Linked DNA regions of Saccharomyces cerevisiae S288C. The gene in region 4 interacts genetically with the main gene of each other region. Each region holds a gene or a part of one and is shown on either strand. Other genes may lie near its edges.

Region 1 (10,550 bases), on a different chromosome or scaffold from region 4:
TTACTCTTCAAGAAACCTGGAAAATATTTTTTTGGGCAGTTTTTTAAGACGATAATAAGTTCTATGCCTCATTTACGCACCAGCGGTTCTATTACCAAGCTGACTCTTATCGGCGATGAGTATGATCTAAGGCTCGGGCCGCCCATTTTGCTGCTCCCGGTCAAGTAGCACGCTCCCTCTTTTCTTATCGCAGGCTTTGCCCACTACCCGATCTCTAAAGCGCCCATTTAACCTTTTTTAAAACAACAGCTTAAAAGCTTTTTGGATAAAAAGCTTTTATTACTACATCTCTGCATCTTCTCTCCGGGGTCTAAGAAAAGGGCTCAAATTCGCGGAGTTGAGAAACGAGAAAATCCAAATAAAGCGAACAAGAGGGAAAAAAATTTTTTCTTCCGTTCTTTCCTTCTTCTATACTTCAAGAAAACAAGCAAACGCACCCACTACACACAAAGTATCTTTTACGAAACATAACACAAGAATCCAATGTCAGGGAACCCAGGAAGCTCGCTGAGCGCATTGAGACCTACTCCACCCGAGAGAGGTTCGTTCCCGCTAGACCACGACGGCGAATGCACCAAGTACATGCAAGAGTATCTCAAATGTATGCAGCTTGTGCAGAACGAAAATGCAATGAATTGTAGACTACTGGCAAAGGACTACCTGCGGTGCAGGATGGACCACCAATTGATGGACTACGATGAATGGTCACATTTAGGTCTTCCTGAGGATGCTCCAGGCAACAACGGTAAAACCATAAAAGACGCCACCGATAATAAATAGCCGCCCACATCGGAATATCGAATAAAAGCTAGACGCTGTTGGTAATATCATACTTTCTACAACAACTGGTAAAGAACTTCTTTTTTTGAAATAGCCGCCGATATGGCGCGAAGTGACCCTGCTCGAGGCTGTGCGGGCCCAGGCCCGTCCGTTTCTTTTTTTTCTAGGGGGCGGCAAACGGGCCAAAGGGGTCAGCGTGATTGGGCGGTTTTCCACAAAGCTTTAGTCTCTCTCCTCACGCCTTGGCTTAGTGAGTGGCCGGAGTTAAAGTTGCGAGGAAACACACAGCGAAGGGAAAAAGCTTTGGCGTGCTTAACGATATGGCTTATGGCCCGGTTGCAATGCTGGTTTAGTTTCCGATTACGATTTTCGATTTGAATCCTGGCTCCACATCTCCCACCCTCTTTTTTTATCTCTAGCATCGTGCGTTGGATTTTATATTATGAAGTTCCTATATTAGAATAAAGTTTAGTATTTACTTCCCAGATCTACCGGATTTACAAAGTATTGTTACCTCACCACCAAGTGAAAGGAAACAGTGCAGTAACTCCTCGTGCTTACGCTAACTAAATAGATATTATATTCACGAAATACTGCGCCAGATAGCAAGCAAACCCAAAAAAAAAAAAGAAAAAGAAAAAGGAAACAAAGTGGGAGACAGAAAAAGAGTGAAAGAAACATAGTATTTACCAAGTCGAAGATTTAGCACAACAAAGACTAATCTACACGCATACTGCTCTTCTTCATTATTGCTTTATCTTCCGCGTACCTTAGTTATGTCACAGAATATTCAAATTGGCACTAGAAAACGTTCAAGAGCAAATATGAATAATTCCACTACTACGGGCCCTGCTAACAATACAAGCTCTAACAAGACCTTTTTGGATAATTTCGAAGAAACGCGCACAAACAAGCTGCTGGACGAGATGTTTGCTCGGCAAAATTCTTTTCTAACAGACAATCTGAGGAACAGTCTAGACCTGAATCAAGCAGACAATCCGCTCCGTCCTCGGCAACACCAACACCAGTTGTTCTTGGACAATGAAAATGCCATAGAACTAGACGAGGAGCCGCGTATCATTAACACCACAATCAATAACAGTAATAATCATAACAGTAGTCGAGTGGACGAGGATGCTGACGATGACATCATTTTTATCAAAGAGCAGCCAATTCAGTTTTCGTCACCTTTGATTCTGCCTAGTAGCAGCAGTATCAATAACAACAATAATATTGTTACTTCAAATAATCCAGGGTGCGGTACCGCAGCTACAAGCAATAGTACGTATATCACGACACCAAAGAAATTCAAGAAGCAAAGAACCATCTCACTGCCTCAGTTGCCTCTATCGAAGCTGAGCTACCAATCGAACTATTTTAATGTTCCTGATCAAACCAACGCTATCGTGCCAAGAGTAACGCAAACTGAAAATGAGCTGTTGCATCTAACGGGGTCGTGTGCAAAGACTCTGGAGGGCAACAAGGCAGTGAATCTCACGATTGCTCACAGCACTTCTCCCTTTTCCAACCCACCAGCACAAATAGCTTCCCTGCCTCAATCCAACCTCAAGAAACAAATTGGTTCTTCACTACGGAAATTTACATCAAACGGCTCTTCAGAAAGCGCATCATCCAATAAATCAAATTTCAAAACGGACAAAGACGGTCACTACGTTTACCAGGAAAACGACATATTTGGCAGTGGCGGCCGCTTTGTTGTGAAGGACCTATTGGGCCAAGGCACGTTTGGTAAAGTACTTAAATGCATCGATAACAAGTATGAACCTAATTACGTGGCTGTAAAAGTGATAAGGGCTGTAGATAGATATAGAGAAGCCGCCAAAACAGAACTAAGAATTCTACAGACTATCCTGAATAATGACCCTCAAGGTCAGTTCCAGTGCCTCTTGCTAAGGGAGTGCTTCGATTACAAAAATCACATTTGTTTGGTGACAGATCTATACGGCAGGTCCATTTACGATTTTATGTGCTCCAACGGCATTGCCAGGTTCCCCGGCTCTCATATTCAGGCCATTGCCAGACAGCTAATCAGATCTGTCTGCTTCTTGCACGATTTGGGCATAATACACACGGATTTGAAACCAGAAAATATCCTGATTTGTGACGAAACCCATATTGCTCAAAAATTGCCTTTGAAAACCGTACAGTCGCTAAGCAAGAGACGCCGTGAAGCCAGTAAGGGGAAGCGCAAAATCTTGAAAAATCCAGAAATCAAAATCATTGATTTCGGTAGCGCAATTTTCCATTACGAATATCATCCTCCTGTAATATCCACTCGTCACTATAGAGCCCCGGAAATTGTCCTTGGCTTGGGCTGGTCGTTCCCCTGCGACATTTGGTCCATCGCGTGTGTCCTAGTAGAACTGGTTATTGGCGAATCTCTTTACCCCATTCATGAAAATCTAGAACATATGGCTATGATGCAACGAATCAATGGAACCCCTTTCCCCACAGACATTATTGATAAGATGTTTTACAAATCTAAACATAAATTGGGCAACTCTCCATCAGACCTAAATTCAACGGTGATAAAGCATTTCGACAGAAAAACTTTAAGCTTACAATGGCCTGAAAAAAATAAACGCGGAGATACCATAACCACCGAAAAGTCAATGAAAAGGGTCTTGCAGTCATGTGATCGCTTAGATATTTACATCTCAAAGGTCTTGAAACAGGATTACGGCGATAGCTTAAGCATCAATTGGAATCTACCGCCGGAGAAAAACTGGTCTTTGATAAATTCGAAATTGGCATGGAAAAGACAAACACATTCCTCTTCTTCCTCAACTACTGATGAACTCGATAAGGAAACTTTCTTGTTTTGGTACTGGTTCATCGATCTACTCAGGAAAATGTTTGAGTTCGACCCAACAAAAAGGATTACCGCAAAGGACGCTCTGGACCATGAATGGTTTAATCTGGGCATACTGGATGATGGTATTGCAACTTATAATAATACCCAAGGATAGTGGGTGTTCTCGTTCTACTTTTCTCTTCTTTTTTTCACATCTTTTACTAGTTCCGTTTTTTTTTTTTTTAACTCTTCTTTTTCATTTTCCGGTTTTTAATAATATTTCTTTAAATTTCTATATTCAATAAAAATTCTTCCTACATATATATCTTCATATTCAAACATTTATAGTATTTTTACTAATTTTTTGTTGTTTTAATATACTATAATAATATTATTATTACTGCTACTACTATTATTATTATTATTATAATTATTATTATTATATGTCATACATAATACATTCTATTGATTGTCTTTGTCTTCCTTTTCTTTCTCCTCTAGATACTACTAACTTTACTTCAACTTCGAATTCAAATAATTTATTTCGTCCTTCAAACTTGCCTCTTCTACAGTTTTTACCAGCTCCTTTGTACATTTGGCAACATCAAACGCAATCCCTGCCAACCGCTGTTTGAAGTTTTTGTCAGCATAATCTTGATCGCTCTTTTCCTTCGCTAGTATTCCATCGCCAGTTAATTGGCACAAAATTGTCATTCTACGCGAACAGTCTCTTAGACTTTGCACCACCCAATCACCGTGTTTCTTCAAATTGGCATTTCTGCTTTGCTCCATTGATATGCTAGTAGCGTCCACCATTTGACCTATGACTTGGTTGATTGCATTCGATTCTCCCCTCAAATTACCCTTCGTCACCTGTGGTTTCTTGATCGATGTCAAAAGCGATTGAATCGTGGATATGACGTCCATTGTTTGATGTTCTAAATACAATAGTAACTCTGATAGTGTATTATCCGGATTTTCAATGTCAAATGTATCCACATCAAAATCACTGTCTTCTTCCTCTTCATCGTCATCTTCACTTTCCTCTTCCTCACTTCTGTTTTGTTCTTGTTCTTGTTCTTCATGTTTCATGGGAACAAATTGATAGCTAGAATCATCATCATCACTATAATGTTTCTCGTCATGTGCCGTAGTTTCTCCAGTATTTTTTATCTTTATGTGGTTGTTAATGCCGCCGTTCGACTCTGAGTTCTCGTATTGAACCGGTTTACTGTTTAAAAATGGTGAGTGGCTCGTCTTTTTTACCTGTGAATTTTCAGTTGGATTTACGAAAGCATGCTTTCTTTCAGTGATGTGTATTTGGGCATCAGCTCTTTTTCCATTAACATTATTTGATTCATCAATATCTTCCTCGGAAGTATGCACTTCTGCTTCGCTTTTTGCTTTACGATCAACAGGTATTTTATGATAATCAATTTTTCCAGTTTTCGTATATGCACCAGTGATCTGGATATTGTGGTTCACTCTATCAAAATCTTCGTCCTCCTCCTCTCGTTTGATCGTACGGTTTAAGTCGGCGTCTCTCCAAGAAGTATTGGCATCCTTGTTTGTTGGTTCCACAGAAGTGATAGTCTCAGTATGTGGTTTATTAGTTTCTCGTAACTCGACATTTTTCTTTATCGGTGCTAGAGGTGAATTTTTTGCCAATTCAGGAGAAACAATTTGGCTATTCGGTTCTGGGAGCCCGCTCTTTTTCAGTGTAGCTGAAGATGGAGTCTTTTCGACTGATTTTGGTGATCCAGTTCTATTAACAGCCTTTGGAAAGACAATCTTTTTTAGTACTTTTGGGGGGTCAACATTCTCTATCGGCTCTGAGGAGGCAATGTCTCTCCTTATTTCTTGAGGTTCAGACACAGTATTTCCCTTTAAATTTGGGGATTCCATTTTCACTGTCATGTTTGAGGGGATAGTATTGCCTACTGCCTCCAAGGACTCGCTTTCCCTTACCATTCTTGGAGATTCAATTTTGTCAACTTCTCCTGATGACGCCAACTTCCTAGCCGCTTCCGGGGACTTGATTGATTCTTGAGCTGTAATTTTTCCTGTCATACCCAAAGACTTAATCTGCTCTTTCATGCCCGGAGATTCGACCCTACTATCTGCTTCTGGGCCTACAACTTTTCCTGCCATATTCAAAGATTTAATCTGTCCTGTCATGCCCGGAGATTCGACCCTACTATCTGATTCTGGGCCTACAGCCTTTCCTGTCATACCCAAAGACTTGACCTTCTGCGTCATATCCGGAGATTCGACATTACCAAGTGGTTCTTGAAAATTTTTCTTCCTGACTGATTCTACAGATGCGCCCTTCTCTGGCATTTCTGAAGGCTCAACATCCTCTACTAATCTCTTAGGCAGCGAACTACTTGGCATTTCTGAAGACATTTCAGATGACGTGATTTCCTTTATCGATTCAGGAGATTCAATCTTCACGGACTCCGGTGACTCATGTAAATCAAGTTCCACTATATTTGCAGGTAGTTTGCTGTCATTATTTTTTTCAATTTTTGAACCTTCTCTCTTCATTGTTTGTTTCAATGCCATATAGGTAAAATCATCATCATCGTCTGCATCGTCATTTTCGTTACCATCAGAGCTTGAATCATCTGTGGACACATCATTCATTGAAGTGATAAATTTATTGGATAGTTTTGGTTTTGAATCCATTTCTTCTTTTGCTATAGGATTTTCCTTTGGTGATGATTTCTTTTCGGAACTTTGCTCAAATTGTTTCAGTTTATCAGCAATGCTAGAAGTTGGTTTAACAGAGATTTCATTTGTTATGTCACTCCTTTTATTATCCTCTTCTGTATTCTCGATTTTAATATTGGGAACTTGATTCTCTGACGGTGGAATAACAGTACCGATTTTGGCTTGTGGAGGTAGTGTTAGTTTAGGAATTTCGGAAATATTGCTACTTGCAGAATTGGAGGCCGATGTTACTGCCTTTATGGGCGAGACATATTTATCATTATCCTCTTTATGGGAGCTATTCTTAGCAATTGATGAATCAATCATTAAACTAAATAGCCCCGTTCCTGAAGGTTTTCTTGAGGTTGTTGGAACTCCATTAGACGATGACGGTCTTATGATCGGACTGTTAATTGCCTTTTGTGTAATTTTCAATGGCTTGACTGGAGATTCTTCTTCCTCCACATCATTCAAGAAAGATGCTGGTTTTCTTGGGTTTATAAACCCCTTCTTCATATTTATTCCAGAAGTCGAGGGGAAAGTTGGCGTCATTGGGGTGGTAGCAGTTGGTGAAGAATATTCTAATACCTGTCGGTTACCTTCATTAGAGGTGGTGCTCTCACCATTTGAATCGGATTTTATTTTCGCTGAATCAATTAGATTACACATGGCAAAACAAACCTCTGAAACAGCAGCTTGCACAGTTATTTTCGGAATTAATACGGGACCGTAAACAGAGAAATATCTTATCGATGTGATCGCATGCGATAATGATGCCTTCAGTAAAATGACCTGATCTTTGTACTGTAATAGGTCGGCCGATAGTAATAGCTGGGAGATTAGGTTCGATAACTGGGATAATATTTGAAATAACTCTTCGCCAATTTGATGGGAAATTGCCGTGGAGTCGCCTATGGGTACTGCGGAAAGCCTAGTAGTAAATTGAATTATCAAGTTGTTAGCGTTTAAGATGTATTGAGCTGGAATGAGCCCATCGGCAGAAGAGTACTTGCTAATAAAACCGTCAGTGATTTTCAAATCATTATGGTTGTCATTCTTTTTTTGATGCAGTTCGAATTCTGAAATTTTCTGCTTCAAATTTTCATTCTCAATTGATAATTCACCGATTTGAGAGTTTAATGACAGCAATTCTTTCTGAAAACTTTCATCAATGGTGTAGTTAATCTTTAAGTTCTTTTCCTTTTCTTTTTCCTCCTTCTCTTCCTTCTTCTCCTTTTCCTTCTCGCTGGTTAAAGATGCTAACTTAGCATTCAAATCTTCAATTTGCAAATGTAAGTCGCTGTTTAAATCAGTCAGTTCTTTAACCTTGTCTTCCATCTCTGAGTTAGGGTTATTGTTCTCAGCCCGTTGTACTTCAGGGCTCTTCAACTGTTCGGGACCCTTTTCGTTATCGATATCTTTATCTACCTTGATAATTGGAGAATCATTAACGTCCCAGTAATTTTTATGCGTCGTTGTTGGAGTCCTTGCCATTGATGTGATATCACGAGCGAGCACTTGGGAGTCAGGCAGATCAGAATCTGTAACTATGGGGTTTAGAGCAGGTTTAGCCTCTTTCTTTTCATCCATGCTTGTTTGTTTTCCCTCCGGTTCATTTGGCTTCTCCTTTACTTGCTCCTCTTCTTCTTCCTCAGAAGACCAATCGATAGATGCCATCTTAGGAATGACCAAAGAAGGTTGTACGGAGACGTTTGGAGCTACTTGAGTCACAGAGGAAGAATTTGTGGATGTTCTTGCAGTATCATCGCTGTCTTTGCTGACCTCTTGTTTCATCGGCTGCGGTAATGGGGGCCGTGGAGCATCCAAATCCTTGTCGAACCCTCTTCTCTTGATCTCAAAAAGGATATCGTCCAACAAATCATTAAATCGAGTTTGTGATAGATTGGCCAGTTTCTGTCTAGCCTGGTTCCTTTTCATGTGGAAATTTGCCTTCGGCAAAAGGTAATCTGGTTGGTTAGCATCTTCACCGATTCTCCTCTGCAGCTCATCGGACACGTCTGTACTCAGCTCGTAAAATTGCGAAGAAGATAGCTTCAACAGCTTGGCTCTGGCCTTTTGAGCTCGTGTCGAATTTGACCTGTCACGATTTTCGCCAGTCACCTCGAAAAAAGTCTTCAGTGAGACGTAGTAATGGAAGATATCTCTATGATGTGCGAGAGAAACCTCGCTTGACGTACCCATGTTTACTCTTTCTTTTCTTTTGTTTATTCTGTTTCGGTGGCTCGTATTGCGTTATTCCTCACGCCTTGATTTGAATCTTCGTCTCACGTGGTTTCTCAGCGTCTTTCACACGCTTCTGACCAAATTTATCTTACCGAACTATACGTAGCTATGTGTTGCTTTCTGCTGAAAGAACTCGATAATAGAATATTATTCTCAAAATACTTCAAAGTTTATTCTCATCGTTTCCAAAAACGCGTCACGCATCACCCGGCGCAGTATTTCTTCTTCCTTTTCCGCCATAAAAAGTCATAATAATAAGCCTATCTCAAGATTCTTATACTACTTTTAACAGTTTTATTGATAACTTACTTACGTTAGACCATCTTTTTTGTGCAAACCTTTGGTAAAAAAAAAGAACTGCGCTACCTTCTCCTAGTTTATGTATGGTACGGCAACTCATAGTTAGTTTTCTGTGCCCGTTTTAAGCACGACTTGAACTTACGTGATTATATGTATACAGTGCATGTTTTTATATAGAAAAATAAAAAAATGGGGTTACGTAGTCGAAGGATATAGCAGTGTCTAAAAACTTGCAAGAGCACTCGTAGCTCCCCGGCAGTGGAATCTTACCACTTCTCAGAGAATGTCGGAACGATATGTTACTGCACTGAAGTTTCGCGTTTTTTCCAATTTTGTATTATTTCATTCTACTCAATTTTGAGGTAACATCGGCGATGAGGTCTCCTTCTAGAAGTAACAGAATATGAAACTAAGGGCAGAAGACGTGTTGGCAAACGGAACTAGCAGACATAAAGTTCAAATTGATATGGAAAGACAGGTTCAAATTGCAAAAGATTTACTCGCACAGAAAAAGTTCTTAGAAGCTGCTAAACGCTGCCAACAAACTTTGGACTCTCTCCCAAAAGATGGTTTGTTGCCTGATCCTGAACTGTTTACTATATTCGCACAAGCTGTATACAACATGGAAGTACAGAATTCTGGTAATCTGTTTGGGGACGCTCTTCTGGCAGGTGACGATGGATCTGGGTCTGAGTCTGAGTCTGAGCCTGAGTCTGATGTGAGCAATGGAGAAGAGGGGAACGAGAACGGTCAAACAGAAATTCCTAATTCTAGGATGTTCCAATTCGACCAAGAAGAGGAAGACTTGACTGGTGATGTCGACAGTGGTGATAGTGAGGACAGTGGCGAAGGTAGCGAAGAAGAGGAAGAAAACGTGGAGAAAGAGGAAGAACGCTTAGCTTTGCACGAATTGGCTAACTTCAGTCCAGCGAATGAACATGACGATGAAATTGAAGACGTATCGCAACTTCGCAAGTCTGGTTTCCACATTTACTTTGAAAATGATCTGTATGAGAATGCTTTGGACCTACTGGCGCAGGCCTTGATGCTGTTGGGCCGCCCTACAGCAGATGGCCAATCTCTAACCGAGAACAGCAGATTGCGCATCGGTGATGTGTATATCCTGATGGGTGACATCGAAAGGGAGGCGGAGATGTTCAGTAGAGCCATTCATCATTACTTGAAGGCGCTTGGCTATTACAAGACCTTGAAACCCGCAGAACAAGTAACTGAGAAGGTGATACAAGCAGAATTTTTGGTGTGTGATGCTTTAAGGTGGGTTGATCAGGTGCCGGCTAAGGACAAACTAAAAAGATTCAAGCATGCCAAGGCTCTGCTTGAAAAACACATGACTACAAGACCCAAGGACAGCGAGTTACAGCAGGCAAGGCTCGCACAGATTCAAGACGATATTGATGAGGTGCAAGAAAATCAGCAGCACGGCTCCAAGAGGCCTCTTTCGCAGCCCACGACCTCCATCGGCTTCCCCGCCCTCGAAAAGCCCCTTGGTGACTTCAATGATCTCTCTCAACTGGTCAAGAAGAAGCCTAGAAGGCATTGATAGTTTTGTGTAAAATGTAGCAACCTACATACGTAATGTATATTTCTCCTTCTTTGGTACGGCGAAAGGGCCCCATTTTAAAAGGGTGAAAAAATATTTAAAGAGCAAGCAGACCATCCCTGAAATGACATACTTACT
Region 2 (7,801 bases), on a different chromosome or scaffold from region 4:
GAATGCTTGCTTGTAGTTTACTATCAACAACCGCGTCGCCAAGTCCCCAGAAGACGTGCCGCGTGATTCCAAAGGTGATGAAGGGTACAAGTTGTAAAGTTCAATATAATAGGTAAGGAAAAAGGCCAATACTAACTGTGCTTTTCTCAATTACCACTACATGGATCCGAGGATAATTAAATCTATCTCCTAGGGCACTGATATGAATAAATTTGACGAGTTTATAGAGTCTAATGAGAAGGATTTGGATGTGGACACCAGTACCCGAAATAGTATAATTTCGATGTCACCTGTGAGGAAAACTGGACGAAAGATTCGTTCTGCTAGTTCCAATGGATATAGGCTAGAACACCATCGTACGTCCAGTGCGGGAAGCATGCATTCGCAAAGACTAATGACGCCTACCAGATTAAATGACCAGGACCATCCCTTACAAGCCAAGCCAGATGCTAGGAGGGTGGTAACTCGTCATTCTTCTGTCTCAGTTCCAAATGCAATGAGCAAGAGAAGATCACTTATTCAACCCATGGTTGTTCCCACTACACCAGAATCTCAAAACAACTTACCTTCAGTAAGTCATTCTGAGGGATCCTATGGAATCCCATTAGAGTCAACCACTGTACTTTCTAGTGAGCAAGCGATGGCCAGCGGACTTCGACGGTCTAGAAATGGGAGTTCGCAGTCGGTTAATAGTATGATAGCGACCACCATACCAACAAATGGGGTCGATGTAAGTGCGCTTCTACAATCTCTCGCTACAAAAGAGTTAGAACTTCTGGAATGCAAACAAAAGATTGAAGATTTGAAAAAGCAAACCCAGCATGAAGAGCAAAACTATACTCGTCGGGCACGTGAACTGCATGAACTCAAGGAGCAAGTGAGTAAACATTTGGATCCCTCTCTAAATACACCTGTTAAAAACCGGGCTTTTTCACCGGTTTACCAGAATATACCTTTGGAATCACGAACTGAAAATGCTGGTAACAGCAGCCTTCCTAGTTCTGTCAGTAAACCAAAGAACATGGGTCATCAAAGTACTAATCAGTCAAGATCTGTGTCTCCGCAAGATATTCAAGAAAGGCGCCAAAGGGACGACTCGTCAGATTCATCCAAACAGTCACTTTGGAGCAAACCATTAGCTCTGTTTAATCAGTTTGATAAAATCATTCAGCATGAAATTGAAAGAACTCTGAATTGGGATGACTCTCTTTCAGGTACGCCTGAGGTACAGGAAGGGACACCGACTAGTAATAGCGAGTCGTCCGCGCAACAGTACGATAATGAAGCACCTGGAGCTCGCCAAAAATCTCCTTCGCAAGGATCAGTCTCCAGGTCGCTTTGGAGCTTTGTTAGCGATGTCAAGGCCGGATTACTCGGTATAGAAGAAGAAAACGATAATGATGTTATTACTGATAACAGATGTGATCCTGTATATAAAAGCGATAGACAGCATGAACAGAAAAAAAGTACACATAAAATTACGAACCGGGGGCAAGCAGAAGATAGTGGCGACGATTCTAGTTTAAACATGAGGAAATTTAAAACGACAACTAAGTTCCAGAAAGACAATGCTGGGAATAATAGTCTCACAGATGAAAGTGGACATCGAACACGAGAAAAAAAAAGTAAAAGAAGTAGTAACAAGCTAAGTTTTATTGGAGAACCCGATAATGATAATTCCTCCGTCAAAAACTCAGTTGAAATGACAGACTTCTAATTCCTTTTTCAAAATGACGTTTATTCTTCACTTGTCACTCTTTTTACGTATAGCTGTGAACGCAGTATGTAATTTAATACTGTTTTCTCTTGAAAGTGGTTAAAAAGTGTTATATATCTGAAATTCATGGTTTAAATTAAAGAAATTTCAAGGCCCGTTAAGCAATTCTGTCTTCAACATCATGGAACTCAAGACCAGCCCAGTTTCCTGAATTCTGAAAACAAAAACCTACGTGTTTTTGAAGGTTTCTTTCTGTACCGTTATCCTTCTTTAAAACTATAGAACCATCACTAATGCTGCCCATCAGCCCCATAAACTTTGAACTGTTTAGTCTTTCTTTTACATCTTTATTGGCACTATTATTATCGCAAAACTCAATTATATCGGAAGCCAAACCTTTCATGGCAGTTTCTTCATCTTCCAGACTCGTACCTGAATTTTCCTCTTCTGTATGGACATCTTCTTCCAAACTACTGGCTTCCAGTTCCGAAAATTCAGCATTAATTAAAGAATCAATGTGGCTGTTGATAGGATGTTCTAAACCTGTTGTCTTGAATATCTGATGGTCAACCACAGGGAAGGAAGCAATGTTAAAGTTTTTCTGTGAATAAAAGCCTAAGGGAAAATCTGTCTGAGATGTCCGTAGCCCGTTGTTTATATTAAGATTCGCGATTTGATTTTCGATGGGCGGTTCAACATTCTTAGGGAAGTTATATCTAAAATCCTTGGCCCAAGAAGTTTCATTGTCATTTAGATTTGGCGCTTCAAATTTGTAACTTTGATCCTCTAAGGTTCTAGGACGAATATTTACGTAGGACCGTGATTGATTCAAATCTTCTGAGTGTTGTAGAAATTTCAGCTCAATTTTATCCTTCAGAATCGGTGGTGAATTCAGTCTGCTCCCGATTTTGTTAAAAGAGAGCGTATTGTCCCTGCCCGTAAAAGGCCCCTTTTCTGTACTACTAATAAATTTATTCACCTCATTCGTTTGGCATCGGTTACTATTCATTGTTTGTATTTTATATCATTTGTCCATTGAAGTTTAGACAAGTATCAAATACCCAGTTTTCGTCTTTTCCCTTATATAGGTCGTCTCGGAAATAACAATATAAACTCCATGGTGCGGCGCTATCGAAATCTTTTGTTGGCGGGAGGAATTGAAGACAGTAAGATGTAAGTATTACATACTATAGGACAAATGCAAAATATGTACAAAATGGCAAAAATTACATAGCTCTTCCTTACAACTATATATAGCTATCCAAAGATGCACTTGAGTACTCCCTTACATACCTGATTATACTAGATATTACATATCAATTAAATTGAGGTTGTTAGCATATTGGTTTCCTAAAACTGGTTGCTGTGTTTGAGACTGTTCCGGTTGTGGTTGCTGTTGTGGATAGAAAGGGAAATTTTGAGGTTGAACTGTCCCAGTTATATTTGTAACAGGGTTGGCTCCTGCAGTTGCAGGCACATAATAACCCTGTTGTGGTTGCTGTTGTTGCTGTTGCTGTTGTTGCTGTTGCTGTTGTTGCTGTTGTTGGAGATGATTCTGAGTGTAGTGAGCCTGAAATTCCATTTTATCAAAACGCTGAGGAATATTCATCGATCCCTGCATGCTAGTAGGGGTTGTCATAACGCTATTGATCGAGCTCAAAGGCATTTTTTGTTGTTGAAATTGTTGTTGATTGTACGTTTGGTTTTGAAAAGGGTTACTTATTATCTGTTGTTGTAGCGGCATATTGGTATTTTGTTCATCAAAGTTTGGTCGTGAAAATGGGTTATTTAAGACATTTTCGTGTGCAGGATTCCCTGTTGCGATCGTCGCGGCGTTGTGCAATGCGAACGGGTTGTTAGAACCAGTTTGTGAATGAGAGACTTGTTGATTAGAAGCGGCAGTTGTATCCTGTGAAACGGAGTATCCTCCAAACCCTGCACCTGTAAATGTGGGTGTTAAATGGTTGTTAATCGAATAGTACCCCGTTTGTTGGGCACTTACGCCAGCATCTTGTACAGGGTTGAAGTTCACTGTGTGTTGGACCGCTGCATATTCAGGAACGTTTAAATTTGCGGGCTCTGTATGAGCGGTTGGTGTATTCATCACCTGTGGCTGAGTTTGAGATACAAATGGGTTATTTGCGATCTGTTGCGTTTGATTAGCCACAGCCATTGGAATGTTAGTATGCATAGAAGAGTCTGTTCCAAACGGGTTGTAAGATTGAGCCGCCGTGACAGTAGTTAGAGCAGGGGAAATCGCTACTTGTTCGTTTTTCAATTGTGCCTCTAGTATCCTTTTTTGTTCCCGGATTTGCTCCAACCTTTCCTGTGCAGTAGATTTGGCTACTACGGCCCCAGCACTTCCTTGAGAACTGTCAACGGGCACAAAAGTGTTGTGCGTCTTATCATCCTCTATCAGATGTTCTTCTAGCGATCTGACCAGTTTGGTAGTGATATGCTTGATGACGGGTATTTTCAAGCCCGCAGTCTTCCCGCTCTTCAAGTACCTGACAACGTGCTCGGTCAAATCAACAAACGTCTTGTACAGGTCTAGAGTTCTCTCTGCATTATGATGAGATAGTTCGAAAAAAGACTCCAGCAGAGTTATGATACCTTCGTTGAGAGCATTATATAGCGCTAGCAGGTCTTGAATAAGCAGCTTGAAACCAAATATGATCAATTCGTTACTCAAATCATATTGTGTATACTTGTTTTTAATCAGGGCTTGTATTTGTACCTCTAGGGACTCCACATGATCTAGTGCTATATTGATAGAGTGTTGCTTGTTTCTGGAGCTTCCGTAATTGCCACTGTTCAGCTTCAGTGTTCGATAGCCGTCTCTCACATAGTCCTTTTTGATTTTACCAAACTCCCTGCATCTCACCTTCAGATAATTATCGTATCTATCAAGTGCCCTCATGTCTCCAGACGCACTGCCATTGGAGCCACGTATGTTTTCAATGTCAAAAAACTCCAGGTTCCTAGAGTAGTACCGCAATGCAACATCTTTGGAACCCTCCCTTATCATCAAATGAACCACCAACAGCGATTTATACACAATAGTCCACGCCGTGTCATTAATTCGGGAATCCAAACCCTTCACGATCTCATAGAAATCCTCTTCATTGCTGGTCCCCAACAGTATCGGATCCAGATACTTCTGTTTGGGCGGGGCTGACTTGATCTTGGTAGCACCTTTTACCAACTTGAAATATGTTGTCATCTCGCCTCAATCGAAATTTATACTCTAGTATCTGCGATATCGAACAGTCCCTTTATATTTACGAGACAGGTTTTGTCCTTCCTCCCCCACCAAAAAGACGCTATAAAATACTAAATATATCTAATATCGCTACTGCTCAATTCACCTAACGAATGATTACCACCAAGCATCAACACCATGTGCATACCATACCGCTAACTAAACTCACCAACGCTGGAAGCCTGAATACCAAGTATCGAACTGAGGCCCCTGTGTTACCAATCCGTAAAAAGTGATGGAACCCGCCGCTCGCTTCCAAGAGTTATCATCATATTCTTCATCATATTCTTCCATACTTAAGGTGGGTAGCGAGGACCCCTCAATTCCCCCACCTCTCTGCCAGGGCGTCATCTTTTTCTACAAAAGCCAGGCTGAGTCACGTCAGTTGCTGACCCTGGGGGCTGCATTGTTTCCTACGAATTACTCATTTGTTTCGTGCGCTTTCCTATTGCGCGCATGACTAGGATGGAAAAAAAAAGAAGAAAAAGAAAAGCGTTGAGTATATAATAAGAAAGAAGAAAAAGTCCGAGAGAAAAGAAGCACAAAGGTTTTTCCTCGAGGAAAACAGTAAAGTTTGATACGCACATCGTTGACATCGCTGACTGCAATAGGAAACTGAAATAGACGGCAAACCATTAGTTCATTCGAAAGAACGTATTGTCGAGAATTATCACTCACTATATCAGAAAATTGACACACGAATTATATAAACGAAGTTATACAGAAAAAGATTAAAGAAAAGAAAAATGTCTACATCATCCGTACGTTTTGCATTTAGGCGGTTCTGGCAAAGTGAGACAGGCCCCAAGACGGTGCATTTCTGGGCTCCTACTTTGAAATGGGGTCTGGTTTTCGCTGGATTCAGCGATATGAAGAGACCGGTGGAAAAAATTTCTGGTGCTCAAAATTTGTCGCTGCTATCTACTGCGCTGATTTGGACTCGTTGGTCCTTTGTCATCAAGCCAAGAAACATCTTGTTGGCTTCTGTCAACTCGTTTCTTTGTCTGACCGCTGGCTATCAATTGGGTAGAATTGCCAACTACAGGATACGGAATGGCGACTCTATATCGCAATTGTGTAGCTATATTCTCAGCGGCGCCGACGAAAGCAAAAAGGAAATTACTACGGGCAGATAAACGCCGAATTTACAACTCGAAACTTTGCTTTGTCAAAGATATGTACGTAAGCATATATATCCGGATTGTATAATATTCATAAAATAGTAAAGTATATTTTCTTTGCGCGGTGTTATAATTTGCTCTTTTGCATTTTTCCGTTTTTTTCTTACCTTTTTATCCCCGACAATGGTAATAGTGGTATATTATATAAAGAGGAAAGGCCTCGAGGATAATAGAAGGCAATGCACCATCAATTGCTTTACCCCTGGTCCGCGACCAAATGGTGACAGTCGGTGTGTTTTCTGAGAGGGCTAGTTTGACCCATCAATTGGGGGAATTCATCGTCAAGAAACAAGATGAGGCGCTGCAAAAGAAGTCAGACTTTAAAGTTTCCGTTAGCGGTGGCTCTTTGATCGATGCTCTGTATGAAAGTTTAGTAGCGGACGAATCACTATCTTCTCGAGTGCAATGGTCTAAATGGCAAATCTACTTCTCTGATGAAAGAATTGTGCCACTGACGGACGCTGACAGCAATTATGGTGCCTTCAAGAGAGCTGTTCTAGATAAATTACCCTCGACTAGTCAGCCAAACGTTTATCCCATGGACGAGTCCTTGATTGGCAGCGATGCTGAATCTAACAACAAAATTGCTGCAGAGTACGAGCGTATCGTACCTCAAGTGCTTGATTTGGTACTGTTGGGCTGTGGTCCTGATGGACACACTTGTTCCTTATTCCCTGGAGAAACACATAGGTACTTGCTGAACGAAACAACCAAAAGAGTTGCTTGGTGCCACGATTCTCCCAAGCCTCCAAGTGACAGAATCACCTTCACTCTGCCTGTGTTGAAAGACGCCAAAGCCCTGTGTTTTGTGGCTGAGGGCAGTTCCAAACAAAATATAATGCATGAGATCTTTGACTTGAAAAACGATCAATTGCCAACCGCATTGGTTAACAAATTATTTGGTGAAAAAACATCCTGGTTCGTTAATGAGGAAGCTTTTGGAAAAGTTCAAACGAAAACTTTTTAGAAAAGACACACATGCGAGCTTTCGAACCTCAGATGCTAATATTACGTGTTATATATACCAAACTTTATAAAATGACATAGATATTTTATGCTGTGATAGCTTTCCTGTTATGGAGAAGCTCTTCTTATTCCCCCTGTCAACTTTCATACTCTTGTAGAATTTCCTTTATGATAGGTTTATCGCTTACGAATTTAGACTTTGATGTGATGGGTTTGGCACCTGTTCTTTTTCCACAACCTTTGCGTGCCTCATCAATAGCGTTTGATCTGTCGGGAAATTTGTATTTGTAGAGTGCATCCTTGCACATTGTATAGACCCAATTACGCTCTTCTAACAGGTTCACGAACGATTTTATTTCAGGAACAGAGCCGATTGTACTTTTTGAACCTATAATGATCAGCTTGGATTTGGCCCTTGTCATGGCAACATTGACTCTTCTTAGCTCTTTCAGCAGCGCTCCTCCATTTAATTGAGAATTTCTTCTAACCATGGAAATAATAATGCACTTTTTGTCACGACCTTGAAACTGATCAGCAGTCAAGATCTCTAGCCCGTCATACACATTTTTGTTGAATATCTTCTTCAGTAATCTTAACTGTGCTCTGTATAACGTCATTACACCAATATCTTCGCATGGTACGCCGCTCAATAACATTCCTTCCACACATTGTAGA
Region 3 (7,424 bases), on a different chromosome or scaffold from region 4:
CTGACCTTGGACTAGGCGGAATGTTAGCCTTAATTTCTGGAAAGCTGTCATCGAATTGTGAAGCTTCACTAAATAGCCTTGTGGAGTCAATTGTATCATCAATGCTTCTTCTCTGCCTTTTCTTAACAGGGCCTTCGTTCTCATCACCATTATTGGCATTTGGAACCTTAGTAGGCGATACAACTTGTGTTTGCGTGGTGTTTCGCTTGGATTTGATAAATCCTACAGGCGTAAATTCCATGTTCTTCAAGCTCCCATTTGGGAGATGTGACGCTTCGTCCATGAGTGTTTATCAGCCCTTTTTCGCTTTGTGTGGACTGTAACTAACGAAGTTGCTTAAGATATCCGCGCACATTGTATTTGTTCCACATCAACTTTTTGTTTATTTGTTTTCCTTCAAAATGAAGGATTAAAACTTATAACGCGTAATTAGGGTAATGTTCAGCTTAGTACAAATAAAACGTCTCTATCTAGTTTAAGTATAACATATGAAATAATGTCTACAAGGAGCTCACACTATCTATAAAGTGTTCTAAAGAACGTAATGCATTACCAGAATGTATGCTTTCTTCTGCCTTAATGATCCCTTCCTTCCAGTTCTGGTGACCTTGGCTTAAACAATATAACACGGCGGTGTTCATCAAGATGTAGTCATAAATAGGATTATTGTCGCCAAGGTGGTACTTGCCGGACAAGACTTCTTCTTTTAGAATTCTCGCATTCTCTTTAGGGCCGTATGAAGCACACTTCGACAACTCGTGTTCTTCTAAACCAAACATAGAAGGTTCTAATTGGAAGGTCTTCAATTTAAGTTCGGACGATGTCGGATCAATATGCCAGACAGTAGTTTTGCCTATAGGTGATACTTCGTCTAACCCAACATGTCCCCAAACTATAAAAGTTTCGCTTCCTGGATATACCAAAGCGGCTGCCTTGGCATATTCAGGCGCAAGTTCCTTTGAGTAAACGCCCAATATTCTCTTGTTTACGTGGCTAACTGGATGTAGAAGTGGTCCCAGTACGTTGAAAACAGTCGGAATTCCAAGAAATTTGCGTATCTTAGAAACGTGGCCCATTCCATGATGAAAAAAAGGAGCAAGTAGAAACATGAACGTATTATCAGGCCAAAGTTTGGGCACTGTCGATGAATTAACCTTGAACATGTCACAGCCTAAAGTTCCAATTAGGTCACCAGCTCCACTATTGGATGTAGAAGCTTTACCACCGTGCTTACAAATTTTTAGGCCCTGAATTCCGGAGGCAACGATAGCAGCAGACGTGGAAACATTAAAAGTATTCTGTCCGTCACCACCAGTACCTACAATATCTAAGATTACTGGTCCATCTTCCGGGTGTAATTCGTCCTTCTTGGGTAAAGGTAGATCAACAAGGTCGGAATGTCTGAGCACAGCCTTTGCAGCTTCCGCAATGTATTCAGCCTTGTGATCAAGTTTAGTAACTCTCAAGGCCGTGAGAAAACTCGAAACTTTGGTATAGATGGAAAGACTCTCATCGCTATTTGTATCACATTTTTGCAAAAGACTTAATATAACCAGCAACGCATCGTGTAGGTCTGTGCTACTCAATTGCGGCGGAGAAGCCAATAATTTCTTGGTGTAAGATAGCAAAGTCGCCTCGGACATGATAAGGGAATACTAAGTTTTCTTGTGATTATTGCAGTTTAAATTCACTTAGTTGTCAGTAGCTGTAATATCAGATGCTTTATTATAAAGTTTTCCAGAAGAATGAATGCAACAGAGTTTATGTTTACTGAATTGTCTGGTCATGAATCATTTTTTAGAGAGTCAATCTGCGTAGGTTTTTTTTTCCTTTTGGCAAAGACGACAAGAAAAATGCAGGTGGGGAAGCGCAGCAATAATATTAGTCATAACTTAATAGTCGGTGTATAGGCAACCACGCGTTACAAAGTAAGCCGATGGCCTATGTCATGTGTCTAAAAAGTTTAATTCAGACACGCAATATATGTAGATTATGTATTGGCTTTCTCTAATAATGGGGAAAAGAAATAAAATTCATGGTTTGCTTTTTATTAAAGAAAAGGAGAAAGTAACGATTTGTTGGATAAGTATACAAAAATTTGAGTGTATCTATTTTATAATGGAAAATTCATCTATTCTAGGGAAGTTAAGTATTTCTCAGCATCCAAAGCGGCCATACAACCAGAGCCAGCAGAAGTAATAGCTTGTCTGTATTTAGAATCCTGAACATCACCAGCAGCGAAAAATCCTGGAACGGAGGTTAATGAGCTGCCTGGGACAGTTTTAATGTAGCCCGCTTCATCAGTGTCGACTTGGCCAGCGACAATCTTTGTTGCTGGAGTGTGGCCAATTGCATAAAATAAACCGCTGACTGGCAAATCGGTTTCTTCATTCTTTTTAGTGTTCTTAATCCTCAAGGCATTCAATAATTTACCATCCCCCTTAGCTTCTAGCGCAACAGTGTTGTAAAGGATTTCAATTTTTTCGTTCTTCTCAGCACGCTTTTGCATAATGGTAGAAGCACGCAAATGGTCTTTTCTGACAAGCATAAACACTTTTGAGCCGTACTTGGTCAAGAACTGAGCTTCTTCACATGCAGAGTCACCACCACCAATGACGGCCAATGGCTTGTTTCTGAAAATGGGGACGGCACCATCACACACGGCACAGGCAGAAATACCTTTTTGCCAGTAGGTTTCCTCGCCCGGCAAATGCATTCTCTTAGCAGAAGCGCCTGTGGCCAAGATTATAGCGTCAGTCGTCACAGGTTCTGCGTCTTCGTTAAATTCGGTCCATAGCTTGAATGGTTTGGAAGACAGATCAACTTTGGAAACTGTTTCCGTGATAATTTCAGTGCCAAACTTCGTGGATTGTTCTCTCATTCTGTCCATCAGTTCGCTACCTGTTAGACCATCTGGGAAACCTGGGAAGTTTTCGATTTCTGTAGTGGTGGTTAGCTGGCCACCGGCAGCAATACCGTTCGCCATCATACCTTCATATAGGATTGGCTTGATTTCTGCCCTGGCCAAATAGATGGCGGCGGTGTGTGCAGCTGGACCTGAACCAATGATAGTAACTTTGTTGTGAACCATTATTGATAATATGATGTTTACTTTCGTACTGTTCGCTATTTGCTGTATAGCACTTGTAGGCAAGTATAACTGAACTACAGAAATTAATCTACAAGCTCTTGAAACCTCGAGCAGTTGGGTCCACTCTTATACGCGTGGGCATTTTTTCCTTTTTCGAGATACTTGCGGGCGATTTTTTTTCTCCATGACTAAGGAGAAGCTAACCCAGCCAAAACCCGCCCCCAAATGGCTAGGCAAAGTGAAAGATTATTAATCCAGAACAGAATGAAACACTTACTGCCGTACTGTATACTGAAGCGTTCACAGTGAATACATAATAACTTTCATTATTAATATTAGTGTGACAAACTATATGTGTTTGTAGCTGTTGCGAATGCAAACAAGACATAGACGGTTTTACGTAAAACTGGCGCTAACTATAGTTGGGTACTTTTACACAGAGTACGAACGTAGTATTCCTATTGGGAAAAAAGGGTCTCGCAAGGACTATCCCAAGAGCAGAGTGCATTGTTTAAATATAAATGGTAGTACTCCGTAGGGAAAACTATGTTTGCGTTTCACCAGACAACAGTGATGTACGTTCTGTCACTAGTTGCGCTGCACTGTCTTCTTCAGGACTGTATAGTTCTCTTTCCAGTTCACGTAGTTGCATATCAGTTGCATAAAGGATATAGTATTGGTAGAAGTATATCAAATCAAACGCAATTGTTCCAGCACTTCCAAATATAAAGGGCAACTCATTCACGATGAATTCCCTCTTGTTCTGATTATCTAAAAATCTACAGCTTGTGAAGATGCTCAAATTATACGTGATATTGCAGAGTAGTGTAGTAGCAAATAGGAAGGGAGATAAGCCGTCTGTAGACTTTCTATTGTAATTCTTGATTAGTTGTGGGATACGTGCGCCTACGTAGAAGGAAGCGCCAATCCAAGATAAAATTGTACCCAGCTGGCTGTTTTTACCATCTCCGGGAGGCCCCACTTGTGATTGGGTGGAGCCTACATTTAGCGGATATGCGCTAGCTGTACTTATAGTATGAGCTATAGCCAAGGCTGCTGTAATGGCAGACCTTCTTCTACTGCTTCTAGGGCTTTCTGCACTGCTACCACCTTGTATCATGTCCTCTTCCTCCCTCAAAAGCTCACCATTTTCAACCAGTTCGGGAAGAAGAGGTTTAGGCTCATGGCCGACAGTCGCCAATTTATTTTCATGCAGCACGCCATAGTAATAATATTGACCACATACAAAAGAATCATTCAATAGAAAATAAATTGCTAAAAGTATCTGAAATAACAATTGCCCTGTTAGCTTTGCCCCTATCAGCGAGGTAATATCCCCACATAACCAAGCCAGCAAAAAATATGGCGATAGCCCATCGACAGATTTATCTCGATAAGTCTCAATTATTTGTGGAAACAATGAAATAACAGAGGTGAAGAAGGATAATGATCCGCACAAATTAGATACAGTAGGCCAGATGCCGTTTGAGCACGACATGAAAAGATTCTTATTTTCACTTTATAATTTTTAGCACCGATAACAACGAACCTTATCGATTGATATCAATAGATACTGGCTTAAGGTAATGAAAAGATTGCTTCTTTATTTGTCTTTGTTGGAGACGAATATTAATGCCTGCAAAAAGTACTTGACGTTTATGTGCACGTTTACGTTTGTTTTTTTTTGATCCCTCCTCAAGCGAAGAGATATACTAAAAGATATACTTAGTGATAACACTGGTACCTATTGTCACTACAAATCACTGAGCGAAATCTTTTTTCTTCGCGAACAATTTCTTCCATGCTGCGAAATTTTGCAGCACGTAAGTGAATGCCGTAGAAGCTAGCAAAAAAAAATGGTGATGAAAAGGTTAATAACAAAACACAATAAGGGCATTAGTTCATTGTTTATTAAAAATATATTATTATATTAATCGAAAGTAATTTCTGTATGTATGCATTTATAAGTTTCAGAGTGAAAATGAACTTAAGAAGAGATAGTCTGGTCACCAAACTTTTAGTACGTGCCACATACACGCTAACGTAATTTTCGGTAGTAGTGCAACCACCACTTTGTGAAAATATTATTGAGGTTTTCCTCTTCGATACTATCCTCCGTATACAGTGGAATACAAAAATGCTTATCATCCAAATCTGATAAATGTTTCAGATTATCATATCCGAAGTGGTAGTTTAACAATACGTTAACTGTTAGTGAAACCAAAATCTTATAATTTACAATAACCTTCTTAGATCTATAGTATTCCCATACTTTGTCTTTGAATATTTCCATTTTTACGGGGTAGTTTGCAAAGTTTTGGCCATTATGAACGATAATTACATCCATTACCCACATAAAAAGTTTATGGTCCATTCTTTGCAATATGTTCCACCATGTATTGCTATTCAAACATCCGCCATTGAATTCATTTTTGAACTCATCTTTTCGTAAAAGATGGGCAACAATTCCTCTGGGATTTAATATTCTTGAATCGTATTTTTCCTTGCAAATTTCACTGAAGCACGTCATCTGTATCAAGTTGACCATTTCCCATGTTTCCTTCAAAGTCCCAAAAGATTGATCAGTTAAAAAATGGTAGAATAGCATCTCATCACCAGTAACCAAACCTTGTTGAGATATAGATTTCAGTTGCAGTAATAGCATCAAGTCAGAAACCACTTGCTTATCTGTTCCATTTTTATAAAAAACCTTTTCCTGTACATCGTGTTCAATAAGCTGTCTTATTTCAAATTCTTTATCTTTGGGAAAATCCATTTTGTTGAGTAGCTGCATTACTTCCTCAAATGATTCAATAAAACATTTTGTTATCAAGCAATTGTCACTTTGTAGAAGTTGACTATATATTTGAAGCCGTACTTTAGATATCAAAGGTGTTTCCCAAATAATTTTCTTTAATTCACTTAATGACGAGTTACGAGTAATGCCTCGGTCCAGTAAATGCTGGAATTTGACCTTATTCTGCTCATTCTTTTTGGCTTTTTCGTCACGTTCTTTATTTTTTTGCAACTCTTCCATTGATGCTAAGTCGATATTTTTGTAGATTTGTTTATCTTGCAATTTCCTCTCTTTGAAATCCTTGGGCGGGAGCCAACTCGGACGGAAATGACTTACGGCCTTTAGTTTGTCCTCTGAAACTAGCATTAGGTCTTCCATTCCCTGACTACTGGCTTCTTTAAATTCCAGTGGTAAACTCTGTACAGATCTTGAACGACCAGAAAGAATACTTTTGGAGATTTTTTCGGAACTATGCAGGTATATTTGGGAGAGATTTTTCATTGTATCCTGGATGTACTGTGAATCAGACACAGGAGATATACCAGGAATGCATGTTGGCGGAAGCTCCTTATAGTCCAGACATGATTCTTTTAAAGTGTTACTTGAATTTGATGTATGTTTTCTAGTACTATGAACCTGATGGAAAGTTTTGTCCACACAGAGAGCCGAAGATGAGTGTTGTTTGCCTTCGCAATTGTTCTCCTGTATTAATATCTCTTCATCCCCCCGCGCTGAATCTAAACTCATTTCTTTTCTATTAAACTTAGATAATGTTAAAAAAGAACTGGTCGATAAAGATGCCATTGGAATGTTCCAAATTAACGAGCCGTCGACATCGCCCTCTTGAAGTTCCAAGTTAACGTCTTGATCTTCATAAAATTTTTCTTTCATTTTTATGGCTTTACGCAAAGATTGGTCATTTTGCTCTTTCCTTAAACGGTAACGTTGAGAAGGAGTAAGTTGGGTTGTTTTATATGGTAATATTACAGAAGTACTATTGGAATGCACATACGGCGTTTTTGTGATCGGCATGAGTTTTGGTTCTTGGATAGTTGCGGTACTCATGCAATGATGTTTAAGAGGAGAGTCATTCTCGCTTATGAATGAAGTTTGTGATGCGGCTATACTGTTGGTTGTATTGCTCGATCCAGGCAGCCCTACTGTCCTGGAGAGTTTAGGAGTTGACACCGAATTTTGACGAGATGGAATGCATGTAGTTATGGTACTCATTGAGCAGATTGTTTTATCAGCGCTACTTGCTGTACGTGTTTTCTGTAGTATTGATCCCGGTCGGCTTTTCTTTAAGGGCGTAATATTGCTTCTATGGTCAGCTTCTCTCATACTTTTGAAGAAGCAGTTATCCTCCATCTTACTGTTTGCTATTTCACCCTCTTCTGAGCTTATATCTGATGTACATAAAGAATCAGATGTCGTATTTGAGTGCGATGAAGAAAATATCTCTGTGCTCGATGTACCTATAGAATCATCTGATATTGGCCTAATGCACTTCGCTGTGGGTACGTGTGGATTATTATT
Region 4 (6,780 bases):
CTTGCCACCGAACGGGAAATTATGGCTACTACCACGGATGATGACGGCATCCCCTCCCCTTCCCATCCAATGGAAAAGCGTGTCTTGCGCAAAATGGATATATACTTGATTCCTCTTATGGGGATGCTATATTTCCTTTCTAACCTGGATAAATCGAATATTGGTAACGCAGAAGTTGCAGGTCTATCCAAGGATATCCACCTTGTAGGAACGCAATATAACACATGTGTCACAGTTTTTTTCGCGACGTATGTTCTTTTCGACCCCATAGGTACTAACCTTCTGAAAATTATGGGTCCGCCATTAATGATGAGTATCTGTTTGACCTGTTTCGGTGCTATTTCGCTCGGAACTGCTTGGGTTAAGAATTATGCTCAATTGATCGTTGTCAGACTACTACTGGGTGCCTTTGAAGGTATGATTTATCCCGCTATTAACATGTACCTTTCAGTCTGCTATAGAAGAGAACAATATGCTCTGAGGTTCGCTTTTGTCTTCAGTGCAGCCTGTTTGTCTTCATCTTTTGGTGGGCTGATTGCTTATGGTTGTTCCAAAATCAGCGGTTCTCTAAAGGACTGGCAATACATTTACATTGTCGAAGGTTGTATCTCTTTGGGGTTCGTACCATTCTATGCCTTCGGGTTGAGCAAAAATTTGGAGGATTCGTGGTTTTTCAATAAGGAGGAAAAAGAGTACATTTCCGAAAGATACAAGACTATGAACACTTTTGACCCGGACGAAAAATTTGAATGGTTCCAAGTGTGGCAAGCAGTTAAGGATGTCAAGACTTGGGCTAGTGCTGTGGCATTATTCGGTATCGATTTGACTACTTTTGGTCTAACAGTCTTCTTGCCGATCATCATTACCAGTATGGGGTTCACTAATGTCAGAGCTCAATTAATGACCGTGCCCATCTATTTCCTTACAGCAATTGTGTTCTTCATTTGTGCCGTTTGGTCTGATCGTATAAAGTTGAGATCTCCATTCATCCTGGGTGCTTGTCTGACGACTTCGATAGGCATAGCTATCGTCCTTGGTTCTCAAGTTCATGGTGTGAGATATTTTGGCGTTTACATTCTTTGTATGGGTATTTACGTTAATGCTGCCTGTAACTGTTTATGGTTAAGTGGTAACACTGGTAATTACTTCAAGAGAGCCACCGCTTTAGGAATTAATCTATTTTTCGGGTCTGGTTCAGGGTTGGTCTCTGGTCAAATTTTTGTTGCCAAAGACAAGCCAAGATATATCAAAGGGCTGTCGATTAGTCTGGCCTTTCAAGTCTTCTCCATATTTATGACGGTTGTGCAAATTTTCCTATACAAGAGGGAAAACGATAAAAAGAAAGCAATAATAGATCGCTGTAATGAATTGGGAGAGCCTATTCCATACGACGAAAGGTTAAGCGACAAAAACCCTGAGTTTAAGTACATGTATTAGGCTTGACTTTCTTCACCCTCCACTTTTTTTGCCCCTCGTTATGAGTGTGTTTGCAATTTGTAACTTTTCTTTTATATTTGTATGTATTTTTGTACTAAGCAAATTCACATGAAACTTTGTTTACCAACTTCTCTTTTGTTTTCGTCCCAAACACGTATATTACTGGGAAGATATACATGCCTATATCTATATCTATAAATATACATATTTATATAGTATTATCTCCGAGTTCTAAAGCTCCAGATGCGAAGAAGACGTTCCCGAAGAAGACGTTCCCAAAGAAGAGTCACTATACTCATCATCGTCACTGCTCTCTTCCGATTCGTCTTCATCCTCGTCACTGCTTTCTTCCACCACCTTTATAATTTTCCTTGGTTTACTCTTCCTTTCTGGAATGTCGGAAAAAAACTCGTCCAGGCTTTGCAAACGATATTTCTTCCCGTTTTGAGATGTGAAGGTGTTTACGTTACCTTTACCTGAGATGCTATTGCTATCGCCGTCATTGATCCCAGTCAATTTTGCGTTGGAGCTAGATGTGAAAGATCTTGCTGAGTTGTTGGTAATAAAAGACTGCGATGAAAAACTTTTTTTGTATTTGTTATAGTCTTTCAATTCTGCGCCTTCTCTAATATCGTTACCTGTCTCGCCAACCTCAGTAATTTCAGTATTCCAAGGAAGCATTCTAAAAAATTCTTTTATTTCTGGGGTATGTGTTTCCAATCTTGCAGAAACGATAAAATCGTCACTTCTTGCCGTAGGTTTAGGTGCTTGTAATAGTAGTGACACAATTTCATATTTCCCTGAATCAAACAAGGATGAAATCATCCTGGCTCTATCCCTAATATCAAATTCGTCATCATATTTTGCCAAGTAAAGGACCGCATTGTACATTTGAGAGATTCTTGAACCACTAAAATCATAGTATGGGGGATTTTGGTTATTTTCTTCGCTTCCAGTAACTTGCGCTTGCTTAAAATTATCAATGTCATATGACAACAGTTTTGCTGATAACACTAAGATCTGACATCTTGTCTCAGGACCCTCATTTGAAAAATTCTGGATTAGCCTCCTCAAAACGTCCGGACATATCTTAAATTCAATCGAGGCAATTTCACCAAATAACCAAACAATACCTGCACGAGCATTATCAGCCAAACTCGTTTGAACTGTTAATAAATCTGCAAGCTTGAAGATTATGCGAAGATGTTTTGTAGGATTTTTTTGCACCAGCATCCTGATAACATTCACGTATGCATCTAGGACAGAAGCAGAGAGGTTGTGGGATTCCATATGATCAATTAACCACTTCATTACATGTGATTCCCAACTCGTTGACAATTGGCCACATCGAGATAATGACTTAACCGCCATAATAACAACATTTTCTGGGAAATGAGCACTGGCAACATAATATTTCAATTCTTTGAATATTTCTTTAACGTTTGATTCATTTATTAACGTGGACAAAATTTGGATCTTCCAAATTGATGCCACAATAGGATCTTTGGGGAAAACGTAAAATTTCTTGGTGTAGGGTAAAAATAGTGTCTGGTCTAAGATCGATAAGAAGTGAATTGCTTGTAAAAGCATTTCTTTGTTACCTTGGTTTTCTGTCATGGTTACCGTTCTAACCAATGCTTCAATAAATTTAGTATTTTTCATCTGCAATGGTGAAGCTAACTGATATAGCGCATTGCAACACGATAAAATCACTGTAGGGTTGGAACTATAAATTAAGCAATTCAAACTCTGTAGAAATAAATCTAAATCAGGGTCATTTACCACCTCGTAAGATGGGTATTCAATCTCGTTGTATTTATCTGGTAAAGGACAACTCCTTGGGGAACCTTCTGATGATTTATCGACCACAGTTGGTTTTGGTAAATACTGCTTACAGTACTTGATTAGCAGCTCAATTAAATATGATTGTGACCACGAATCTAGTTGCTTAATTATTCTACAATATCTGCGAAAATGTCCATGCAATAGCTCCAAGTGATCCGCATAACATTCTTTGTAAGCTAGGACAGCACAGGATATCACCTTAGGATCTGTATCTGCCATTAATTCTTTCAGAATATCCAACAATTCTTCATGATAGTCATTCTTTCCAGCCCTATATAATTTGATAATGGCCAAGGCGACTTCACCACGAACCATTGCAGATGGATCTGTAACCAATTTCTTGACAGTATGCAAAATTATAGGTGCTAATGATGACATTTTCATGTCAGAAAGGGCACTCAAAGCAAAGCATCTCAGTTCGGAATTCGAATCAGACAATGATTTTTGAAGAGAATTAATAGATAACAGGGTCAGGTTTGGGTCATTTTCTGCAAATCTAAGTAAATACAGGTGAATAAGTCTTTTCACTTTGGTGTCATTAGTGGTGATATTCTTTACAACATCAGCAAAGTATAATTGAACGTCAATAGAGTCATCATCGGAAGCCATTATAGATATTATTCTCTTCATTGCATCTCTAACTTCTCTAGAGTTCCTAGAATTTAACAAGGTGACTAACTGTTGAGGATTGATGTTTTGAGAATAATAAGTATAGGAGGATTCACCCAGCTTAGAGGTGGCTACCGCGGCAGCTTCCCTCGTTATTACTTTGGCCGTATCCAACGCCGATGCAATACGGTGAATTGAATCTACCATTGCTGGTTGTCCACTTTTCGATTGTTTGCTGTCTTTGGTTTACCTTTCTTTTCTTTATATATTTATATATATGGTTCTTCAAAAATGATTTGTCTGAATTTGTCAAAATCTCAATAACTCGGACACGCTTTGATGGTAACATACCTAAAAGTTATGTACGTTAATATAAATTATAGATACATATTATGTGCAGCGATATACAGGCAGTACGCTAGCATTTATATTATCCTAGCATACTTCTCTTACGACCACGCAACCTGACCTCTTCGAATCTTTTGGTAACTTCTTTCAGTTTCTTGGCACCTTTCGCACCTTGTTCACGATAGACCTCTTCGAACCCCTCCATGATCCAAGCATTGTATTTTTCCGCATGCTTCGAATGTGTACTTAAAATAGCTCTCTCTAAGACGTATAAATCGACGCCTTTATCTTCGACCAGGTTTGAAACTGAGCCCAGACCGAAATCAATCAAATGAGGCGTCCATCTCGCACCATCTCGCACGAGAACAATGTTAGAACTTGTCAAATCACCATGACAGTAGTCATTCCAGTGCAACAACCCAATTTGGCGCCCCACTTTCCGTAGTGTAGTTGCTACAAGATCACTATATGGATCTTGGTCATGCATCCAAAGGAAGTTCTTTAGGTTACTAAAACCGTGCCCTCCGGGAAGATCTTCTCCAAGGAACTCTAACCAAATGAATCCATTGTATGGATCACACGCTATCAGTTGAGGGACACATAGCCCTGGAATCAAGTATAATTTGGCCAATAAACGCGACTCATTCAACGTACGATGTTTTGTTAGTGCCTGGTCTATTTGTGGATGTCTATAACGCTTTGGTGGCCTATATTTGATAATATACTTTTGATGAGAATCCTTTGCTCTTGGGAGATATGGGTGAGTAGTCGTTGTGAAAACAATGGCTTCTGCACCTTGAGAAATAGGTGCAATGTCCACATCAGGAGTCAGGTAGGAAGATACTTTATCAATGAATTCTTGCGTCATAATGAGCAAAGCGTATAACCTTTTCCGCTGTCGTATTCATCACTTATTTGATTTCAAGTAAGGTTATCTTTGTCCTTCAAGTTGGTGATGCGCCGGCGATTTTTTCAACCTTGTTGCTGCTAAAATAATGGAAAATCAAAATAAATTTGTGCTGACCCAAATATTTATGTATATAAAAGGGGTTATGTAATTGTCATTATGACAAATTCAGGATTGCATAAACTCAAGAATGCGAGCGATAGATGGTATGTTGGTCCAGCGATCCATATTACGAGAGTAGTTTAATATTGGGCCCGTATGATAACCTTGGTGTTCAACCAGCACATTTTTGGCGGTAAAGTGGTTACATCCCTCGCTAGCGTCACTCATTTTCTTTGCCAAGATCTTGTTTTGAAAGCTCAACAACTCATCACTACCATAAGTAATCATCACAGAGCACTTTTTCAGAATATCTTGCCACATTTTAGTTTCGAAATTCTTTTCAATATTAACAAAAGGGTCGCTGGTAAAATCGACGTTTGGGTTGTTTCCTACAAACATTCGCCCAAACATCGAATGACTCTTCAAACATAGACCATCCCATTCTTGTGTTCCTTGCATATATTCCTTTTCTCCCTCGTGGAAGAAAGTGGCATTGGCCCAGGGACTTATGGCTATGACTTTTTTCGGGTATATTTCTCTGTGACACTTTCTTAAATATAAAACAATGTTCAAAACAGCATTGCCACCAGCAGAATCCCCCATAATCACTACATTTTTGCACCCCATAGTCTTAACAACGTAATCAAAAATGGCCACATTTTGTAAAATTTGCAGAGGGTACTTTTTCGACTGGTCATCGGTAGCTGTAACGGTATAATCTGGTACAAGAATGGCCATTTTAGGAAAGGCATTTCGCATATTATTCAAGAAAGAAAACGACGTAGGCGTCAATTTAAGAGCATAACCACCCCCATGATAGAATACTAAAACTGGATCTGTCGTGGGGTCAAATCCTTCCGGCATAACATATTGATAAAACTTTGTGCTAACTATTTTGGGTGCGTTTAATTGATGGTCTTGGAAAATATTGTTTTCTGGAGATTTCTGATCTTCTATAGGAATGTTGCATTTGACATATGTTGGACTAGAAAATGTAGAAGGATATAAACAAACAAATAAAGGATTGAGCACGTATTGACAGATGCGTTCATCGAGGATCCAAGAACTTTGTCTTAAAAAACTTCTGTTGACATGGTCAAGGCAAAACCTACGTTTGCGTTGAAAAATGATCTTCATACTGTCGAGGATTATAAATACAGGCACCACTGTGAACAATAGAGCGGCAAATTTCAATCCATGGAACAAATGCAAATGGATGGTACTCAATCGAAAGCCCGCATCATTTTGATCTGCATCCTCACTTGATACAGCGCTAATAATTTCATTCTCTTGAAGCCGATAATATTCAACTTTTGAGTCGAGACCAGAGTTGGCTGCCATTCTTCTTTGAAACCTTTTCCTTTAAAATTGATTTGTGCTGTTCTCATTTCAAGCGACGCAGGGTATTTTTGGTTTTCAGTTTCTTTTTCCCTCAATTCTATATAATTATGGCGCTAACACGTTAAACATTTGTTATTATAAAGCAGAAGTTATTTATCAGAAATCAAATCATGAATATTCTCAGCTTAACA

The links.
Region 1: mutations in BUD32 (region 4) and SPA2 together harm fitness more than expected from each alone (negative genetic interaction), as found in Saccharomyces cerevisiae (3 studies listed by BioGRID).
Region 2: mutations in BUD32 (region 4) and YAP1801 together harm fitness more than expected from each alone (negative genetic interaction), as found in Saccharomyces cerevisiae (3 studies listed by BioGRID).
Region 3: mutations in BUD32 (region 4) and TRP4 together harm fitness more than expected from each alone (negative genetic interaction), as found in Saccharomyces cerevisiae (3 studies listed by BioGRID).

What each region holds. Positions count from the first base shown.
Region 1 is NC_001144.5:98,906-109,455, reverse strand, and holds SPA2 (Spa2p), read right to left. Parts: upstream 8,510-10,550; coding exon 4,109-8,509; downstream 1-4,108. Other genes in the region: COX19 (Cox19p), read left to right, coding at 484-780; serine/threonine protein kinase KNS1, read left to right, coding at 1,557-3,770; HIF1 (Hif1p), read left to right, coding at 9,255-10,412. UniProt on the Saccharomyces cerevisiae protein: Involved in pheromone-induced morphogenesis and efficient mating, perhaps as a cytoskeletal protein.
Region 2 is NC_001140.6:417,347-425,147, forward strand, and holds YAP1801 (Yap1801p), read right to left. Parts: upstream 4,941-7,801; coding exon 3,027-4,940; downstream 1-3,026. Other genes in the region: TDA11 (Tda11p), read left to right, coding at 203-1,717; PEX18 (Pex18p), read right to left, coding at 1,875-2,726; MPC2 (mitochondrial pyruvate carrier), read left to right, coding at 5,726-6,115; 6-phosphogluconolactonase SOL3, read left to right, coding at 6,378-7,127; bifunctional ATP-dependent DNA helicase/ssDNA endodeoxyribonuclease DNA2, read right to left, coding at 7,264-7,801. UniProt on the Saccharomyces cerevisiae protein: Involved in endocytosis and clathrin cage assembly.
Region 3 is NC_001136.10:1,178,966-1,186,389, reverse strand, and holds TRP4 (anthranilate phosphoribosyltransferase), read right to left. Parts: upstream 1,644-7,424; coding exon 501-1,643; downstream 1-500. Other genes in the region: SPC110 (Spc110p), read right to left, coding at 1-283; thioredoxin-disulfide reductase TRR1, read right to left, coding at 2,132-3,091; YPQ2 (Ypq2p), read right to left, coding at 3,636-4,589; SBE2 (Sbe2p), read right to left, coding at 5,130-7,424. UniProt on the Saccharomyces cerevisiae protein: Catalyzes the transfer of the phosphoribosyl group of 5-phosphorylribose-1-pyrophosphate (PRPP) to anthranilate to yield N-(5'-phosphoribosyl)-anthranilate (PRA), the second step in tryptophan biosynthesis.
Region 4 is NC_001139.9:1,012,653-1,019,432, forward strand, and holds BUD32 (serine/threonine protein kinase BUD32), read right to left. Parts: upstream 5,108-6,780; coding exon 4,322-5,107; downstream 1-4,321. Other genes in the region: TNA1 (Tna1p), read left to right, coding at 1-1,437; APL6 (AP-3 complex subunit beta), read right to left, coding at 1,669-4,098; SAY1 (steryl deacetylase), read right to left, coding at 5,315-6,589. UniProt on the Saccharomyces cerevisiae protein: Component of the EKC/KEOPS complex that is required for the formation of a threonylcarbamoyl group on adenosine at position 37 (t(6)A37) in tRNAs that read codons beginning with adenine.